2 linked regions of the Caenorhabditis elegans genome follow. The protein of the gene in region 1 binds, or shares a complex with, the protein of each later gene. Each region holds a gene or a part of one and is shown on either strand. Other genes may lie near its edges.

The links.
Region 2: gtf-2H5 (region 1) and gtf-2H2C share a complex: the UniProt entries of both Caenorhabditis elegans proteins name them as parts of the 7-subunit TFIIH core complex.

Annotation. Positions count from the first base shown.
Region 1 is NC_003281.10:576,341-579,656, reverse strand, and holds gtf-2H5 (General transcription and DNA repair factor IIH subunit TFB5), read left to right. Parts: upstream 1-2,089; 5' UTR 2,090-2,095; coding exon 2,096-2,203; intron 2,204-2,505; coding exon 2,506-2,613; 3' UTR 2,614-2,711; downstream 2,712-3,316. Other genes in the region: helq-1 (Helicase POLQ-like), read left to right, coding at 1-4, 64-330, 1,431-1,592, 1,640-1,810. UniProt on the Caenorhabditis elegans protein: Component of the general transcription and DNA repair factor IIH (TFIIH) core complex, which is involved in general and transcription-coupled nucleotide excision repair (NER) of damaged DNA and in RNA transcription by RNA polymerase II.
Region 2 is NC_003281.10:10,087,929-10,092,319, reverse strand, and holds gtf-2H2C (General transcription factor IIH subunit 2), read left to right. Parts: upstream 1-1,534; 5' UTR 1,535-1,540; coding exon 1,541-1,592; intron 1,593-1,997; coding exon 1,998-2,128; intron 2,129-2,182; coding exon 2,183-2,269; intron 2,270-2,312; coding exon 2,313-2,418; intron 2,419-2,467; coding exon 2,468-2,573; intron 2,574-2,617; coding exon 2,618-2,708; intron 2,709-2,756; coding exon 2,757-2,844; intron 2,845-2,897; coding exon 2,898-3,051; intron 3,052-3,102; coding exon 3,103-3,288; intron 3,289-3,336; coding exon 3,337-3,466; 3' UTR 3,467-3,563; downstream 3,564-4,391. Other genes in the region: spop-1 (Speckle-type POZ protein homolog), read left to right, coding at 189-587, 781-915, 967-1,116; hal-2 (Coiled-coil domain-containing protein), read left to right, coding at 3,735-3,831, 3,885-3,983, 4,034-4,310, 4,360-4,391. UniProt on the Caenorhabditis elegans protein: Component of the general transcription and DNA repair factor IIH (TFIIH) core complex, which is involved in general and transcription-coupled nucleotide excision repair (NER) of damaged DNA and, when complexed to CAK, in RNA transcription by RNA polymerase II.

The sequences.
Region 1 (3,316 bases):
AATGGTAAGCTTTTTTTTTAATTTTAAAATTGAATTCAGCCCCAAAAATTCAAATATTTGCAGTACAACGCCCTCCCGTCAAGCGAGCGAAAATTGTTGGCCGAGTGTGGTCTCGAAGAGAAATTCATACTAGAAGCCATCATTACACGTGTCGATTTGACCGCCGGTACTCCTCGAATGCGACTTTACATTGCGCTGATGCTTCAAAAAATCTGGAATCACGAGCCAATGTATACGGTAGCCGAACGATTTGGCGTGGAGAAGGGATGGCTTCAGGCGACACTGCAGTCATCGATTTCACAGGCCGCGTCAATTGCTAAATTTTCAGAGGTAATTGGAAAAAAAAGATCATTTTCGGTAGTTTTCGTAAAGAAATTTGGGTTTTCCATTAAATTTCCGTCAATTTGAAACCCATATTGACTGTATTTCGGCTAATTGAAGATTCCGACAAAAAAGGCAACAAAAAATATTTAGCAGACCAATGGGAAAATATTTAGCAGACCCATGGGTATGCTAAATATTTAGCAGACCAATGGGAAAATATTTAGCAGACCCATGGGTATGCTAAATATTTAGCAGATCATAGTTGGTTCTGCTAATAATTAGCAGACCATACTTGAGTCTGCTAAATATTTAGCAGACCATACTTGGGTCTGCTAATAATTAGCAGACCCATGTGAAAATATTTAGCAGACCCATGAGTATGCTAAATATTTAGCAGACCAATGGGAAAATAATTAGCAGACCCATGGGTATGCTAAATATTTAGCAGATCATAGTTGGTTCTGCTAAATATTTAGCAGACCATACTTGGGTCTGCTAATAATTAGCAGACCAATGGGAAAATATTTAGCAGACCAATGGGTATGCTAAATATTTAGCAGACCAATGGGAAAATATTTAGCAGACCCATGGGTATGCTAAATATTTAGCAGACCATACTTGGGTCTGCTAAATATTTAGCAGACCATACTTGGGTCTGCTAATAATTAGCAGACCCATGTGAAAATAATTAGCAGACCCATGGGTATGCTAAATATTTAGCAGACCAATGGGAAAATATTTAGCAGACCAATGAGTATACTAAATATTTAGCAGACCAATGGGAAAATATTTAGCAGACCCATGGGTATGCTAAATATTTAGCAAACCATACTTGGGTCTGCTAAATATTTAGCAGACCATACTTGGGTCTGCTAATAATTAGCAGACCCATGTGAAAATAATTAGCAGACCCATGGGTATGCTAAATATTTAGCAGACCATAGTTGGTTCTGCTAATAATTAGCAGACCATACTTGGGTCTGCTAAATATTTAGCAGACCATACTTGGGTCTGCTAATAATTAGCAGACCCTTTCAAAAATACGGTTAATTTTCAATAATAAATGGTAGAAAACCAAACTAAATAACGTTTCTGCAATTTTTCAGAAAATCACCACGATGTGGCCTCTACGAAAACTACTTCCTGAACTTGTTCAACGACTTTCTGAAGCTGCCCAGCCGGAACTTTTACCGTTAATGACAGTTGATGGAATCAAGAAAGCACGGGCCGCAATTTTATTCAAAGCTGGTTATAAAACCGTTGGAATGGTGAGAAATTCGAATTGTGGTTCTGCAAATCAATTAATTTTTCTCAGATTGCAAGAGCAAATCCACTGAAACTAGTTCAAGAGCTCGGCACAATTCGGATGGCTCAAGCGAATTCAATCATCGCCAGCGCACGAATGGTACTACGCGATCAAGTTGATGAGAAAATGGAAGAACTCGACGTTTGGGGCGTCGCAACCGATAGTTTTAATTATTTTTAAAAGATTTTTGTCCAATAGAGCGTGCTATCATTATATGTATTTTTTAAATTTTTTTCTCTTTTTTCTCAATTTTTCTTCGGATCTCTTGTTTTATAATTAGGTTTTTTAAATTTCATTTTCTTTTTCATTTTTTTACGGTTTTGAACAGAAACATATATCACTTTTTGGAAAGTTGATTAATTTTATATTCTCTAATTTAACTGGTTGTTATTTACCAGGGTTATATCTAATTTTCTCCAAAATTTCAATTTTTTCTCCATTTTCAACCACATTTTACAGAAAGCCATGGTGAACGTGAAGAAGGGAGTGTTGGTGACGAGTGATCCGGCTTTTCGTCAACTTCTGATCCATTTGGACGACTCCAGACAGCTCGGATCCAAGTTCATTGTCAGGGTAAGGGATTATAGGTCTGCTAAATATTTTGCAATGTTTTTTCGAATTTTTTTTTGTTAAATTTTTACAATTTTTCCAATTTTTTTGGCAAAACATTCAAATTAAAAAGAAAGAATATTTGGAAAATTCGGAATAAAAAAAAATATTGGTACGATATAAAACATTGCAGAAATTCAACATTTTTTGAATTTTTCAATTAAAATTTTTGCGATTTTTTTAAAAATTTAATACTTTTAATTTTCTGGAATTTTTAAAACATAAAAAAAAACGTAGCACTTTCAAACATGAAATTTCAATTATAGGAACTCGACGATACGCATTTGTTCATCGAAAAGGAGATCGTTCCAATGCTGGAGAACAAGGTGGAACAAATCATGGAAAATATGAATCCGGAGGCTGTTGACAAATAAATCAAGCTAATTTCATCTGAAAATAACTAAAAATTCGTATATTTTGTTCTTAAACCCCATTTAAATAAATAAACAATTAATTTCTCAACAGGCTTCATGTTTTAGGCGATTTGGAATCATTATTTTTTTCTGTGTAGGGAAAAAACCTTTTGATCTGCAAACTTGAAACTTTTCAACTTGTCCTTTTTTTTTATTTGGGCAAAAAAAATTTTTTCGGAAAAGGTACAAAACTATTAGAAATTGAAAAAGGCAATTTTATAGTGTCAGAAAATCAATTTTGAGTCCTCTAACTCTAAAACTAACCATTTTAGAGGAGTTTCAAAATTGTGAATTTTTGCCAAAAATTGTCATTTTTGCCACTTTCTGATAGTTTTCGAAGGGTTAAACCTAGATTTTCTGAATGCAGCATACATGAATTACCCGTTTCTAACAAAACTAGACAACTTTTTATTTTTGCCCAATTTTTTTCAGCCATCTAATCCGTCCTTTTTTACTGCCTTTTTTTTCATTTGGGCAAAAAAAAAATTTTTTCGGAAAATGTACGAAAGTATTAGATTTGTTAAGCATTTTCAGTTCCTGAAACATCTGGACTAATACTTTTCACTTTTCTTTATTTTATTTGTACAAAAAAACAAAAAAAAAAAATATGAAAATTTGACAATTATTCGGGAGAAGGCAAACAAGTCTTGAAATAAAATGTCTG
Region 2 (4,391 bases), 9.5 Mb from region 1:
CTGTTTTCGGCACAAAAGAATTCATGAGAAATTATCGATTTTTAGGTAAAATTTTATTCCATTTTTCGAACCGGAAAACGGTCTGAAAAATTTAAAAACGGTGTTTCAAATAATTTATTAAAGAAAAACAGAAAATCTCAATTAATATAGCTGGAAATCACGAAAATATCAACAAAAACAATTTTCAGGTGTCTGTGGTAGCCGAAACAGTAAACGTGACAGGACAAACAAATGTTTCTCAACTTTTCAAAGTTCCACCATGCCGACTAGCAGATGATATGTACGGATTATTCGACAACAAACAGTTCTCCGATTTCACATTGGTCTGCAAATCCGATCTAGGAAGTCCAACACAGACTTTTCACATTCACAAGGCAATTCTTGCTGCCCGGTCGCGAGTTTTCTCGGCAATGTTCGAGCATCATATGCAGGAATCTGACACGAATATGACAACGGTTGATGATATTGAGCCAGAAGTTATGCGTGAGCTTCTTGTCTACATGTATACAGGACAGACAAAATACATTGAACAAATGGCTCAAAGTTTGATTGCAGCTGCTGATAAATATCAATTAGATCGACTGAAAGTACGGTTTAGTTCTATTAACAGAGCAATCAGAATTTCAAAAAATCCGCATTTTAAATGAATTTTCAATTTCCATCAATTTAATTTACCTAGACTGACTTTTTCTCGAAAAATGCATTAAAAACTGTACTGCGAAATTGCTCTGGCTAGCATTTATTTCTAAATTTTTTTTTTTTTAAATTCAAAATTTTCAGGTAATGTGCGAACAAGCCCTCTGTTATCAACTGACAACGGATAATGCTAGTTTGACACTGATGCTTGCTGATATGTACTCGGCATCTCAGCTCAGAGCTCACTCTATCAACTTTATCAATGTTAATGCAAATGAGGTGAGTGTGTGACGAATAAATAATTTTAATTTTCATAGTTTTGCTCTTCAGGTAATGGACACAGAAGGCTGGGAAGACCTCGTTCGAGACCATCCCAAACTATTGGAAGAAGTCTTTAGAGCACTAGCAACTCAGCAAACTCCTCCCGTAGTGCTTGTACAGCCACCCAAGAAACGGCCGAAACACAATTGTCCATATTGATTTGTCATCGAAATGTCTTGAATCTCTATCCCCCCCCCATACTTGAATTGTAGTCATCTATGATTGATGCCCTCACAAGGCATCATGTCACAATACGACGGGTTTCTTCCTGTATGTTTCTGTATTTTTTTTTCTTTTTATTTCTTGAATTCGCTAAATTTTCTATTTCTGTGTCCTTTTTATTTGAATGCCCCTCGAACTTCATAGTCTACTGGTTTCCCATTTTTCGCACCCATCTGGAAGTGGCTTTTATTATGTGCTTAAAAAGAAAATTTAAAAAACAAATAATAATCGTCGTCATTTGTTGCATTGTTTTGTTTTTTTTTCAGATTAAATTTAAATCTGATGAAATTATTATCAGTGTGGATTCCTATAAGTGCGCGCCGGATTCAAGGTGAAAAGTATTACTAGGTTTCAGATAAATATGGATGATGATGAGCAGAAGGGTTACACCTGGGAAGCAGGATATGCAGAAGGTTTGGAAATTTAATTTTAACAATATTTTCAGAAAATGTCTAAAAAAATCAAAAATTAAACAGCGAAAAACGAAAATTAAAGGAGAAAAAATGGTAAAAACATTATTTTTCAAAATATCGGAAAACATTTTAATACCCAAAAAACTAGAATTGAAAAATCTTGTTTTTGCTAAAGAATTTCAATCATTTTCCGTAGCTTTTCGATAAAAAACGTATATTTTATTTAAGGTTAAAATTACATTACTCTTTAAAGGTTCACACATTTTAAAATTTAACAAAAAATTGATGTGTCGAGACTTTGGACTGTATTTTTGACCCAAAAATTACAAAACTTTTGTTTCCGAGTAATATCACCACTTATTCAATAAATTTATGAAATATAAGCCATTATCAGTTAAATTTCAGGCCTGAACATCAATGATGTCCTTGTGGAAGATGAAGGTGGATCTATCGAAAAATCAATTGCCAAATACGTGGCTGATAGCAAACGAAAAGCCCGATTGACGAAGAGACCGGAACGGATTCGCCTCGGAATTGTAACACAATAAAATGAAATCAATTACAAAATTGCAATTCCAAATTAATTTCAGATGCGCCACGTCATGATTGTCATCGATTGCTCACGATTCATGACGAGCAAGGCAATGCCTCCATCGAGATTTGTAGTTGTTATGAAGGTTAGAAAAACGATTTATTTGACATGTATTTGAATGTTTCCAGGCTCTACAAACCTTCCTGGACAGATTCTTCGAGCAAAATCCAATTGCTCAGATTGGATTGATCACTTGTAAAGATCGTAAAGCAGATCGGTTGACAATGATGACAGGTTAGACTCAATATTCGAGATTTTCAATTTTTTTTTCAACGGATTTCAGGAAATATTCGTGTGCTAAAAGAATCGCTGAACACACTAACTGAAGCTTTCTGTGGTGGCGATTTTTCTCTTCAAAACGCTCTTCAATTAGCTTGTGCCAACCTGAAGTAAGTTAAAAATCGTTTTCAGAATATAAAATATTGATTTTTAGAGGAATGCCGGGTCATGTATCACGAGAAGTTGTTCTCGTTATATCAGCACTTTCAACAATTGATCCTGGAAATATTTACAGCACTATTGAGGTTATTTGACTAAAAAAGTAGATTTTTCTAATCTGTAACATTTTCAAGACAATGAAGCGAATGAATATTCGTTGTTCTGCTATTGGACTGTCTGCTGAAATGTTCGTTTGCAAGGAAATGGCTAAAGCAACGAAAGGTGATTTTTATTTTATTCTTTAAAATAAACTTTTCCAAAATAATGATTTACAGGAGAATATTCCGTAGCTCTTGACCCTGACCATCTGCAACTTTTATTCTCAAAGCATACACTCCCACCGTCCTCAGCAAAATCGAGTGAATGCAACGCAATTCATGTTGGATTTCCACACCACGAGCTGATTACAACAAGATCGTTTTGTGTTTGGTGAGGTTTTTTTAAATGAACTTCTTTTAAAGCTAATTTTTGCTAATTCAGTCATCCTGACACGAAGCCAATCTCATCTCGTGGATTCATTTGTACACAGTGCGGAGCACGTCACTGCTCGATTCCAGCTGAATGCCCGGTTTGCAAACTTACACTTGTCGCAGCTCCACAGCTTGCTCGAGCGTTTCGACATCTTCAGCCGCTGTCAGCTTTTGAGCAAATTGAAGTGACACGAGGGTACGTCAGATTTAAGAAAAAAATATATAAGACAATTAAGATATTCAGATTCTGCTACGCATGTGAAACTCGTCTATCTGGTGAAGGTTTTCGCTGTGGTAGTTGCCAGCTTGTGTTTTGTCTCGATTGTGATACTCTTCTTCACGAGTCTCTACACGTATGCCCCGGATGCAACTGATATCTCTTTTTTTAAATTACTCACGTTCTCTCACTTTTCGGACGGGTTTTATTTCATCTTTTTTATAAAAATTCTAAAATAAATCGATCGGCTCCGTAAATCTACATTTCAAGGTGCGTGCCCATCTTCCAGTCGTGGGTCTCGAAACGAAAATTGAACAAGCGGGTATTCGGGCGCCAATTACACTGTTAAAATTAATTTTTATCTTAAATACATAGCTTTCTTCGTTGTTTTTTTGCTTCATTTGGTCAATTTTTGTACAATTTAGATGAACACACCGGTAAAAGCAAAACGGCAAAGGCAGCAAATGCCAGGAACTCCGATACCCATGGGTCGGCAAACGCACAGGGCACATTCCGCCTCTGGTATGTTTTATCAATAAAAGATTTAGCGGAATCTCTAATTCTTTATATTTCAGGTTTCTACACTCCTCACGTCTCAAAATTGAAGACAAACTATGACAGAGAGTTTCAAAAGTTTCTTCGATCTGCCAAAACCGCAATCGATCACTTGGATAGTGAGTTTGAATTTTTTCTGAAATTTTCAATTTATACTTTTGTTTTTCAGAGATTGAAATGCAAATACTTTGCCCGCTGAAAAAGAAGATAAAACGTTTTCACAAGGAATCCAACACTCTCGATGTCTACTTCAGGTCACAAACATATTGGAGATCCTTCTACAAAGAGCTTATGAACCGCAGCGATGATGTCATGGATTGCTTTCGATTCGAGGATCTCCGTGACGTTGCTGCAGTTGTTGAGAGTCATCGATTGCCGGATGTGTTGGTTTCATTTGTCACGCAGCAGTTGATGGAATGGAGAGAATTGTTCAAAGACGTCGAGTGGTAAGCTGTTGTTGATAACGAATATAAATATAATTACTAAATGTTGCAGGATGCGAAAGTTTCGTGAATTGAGCCACAATA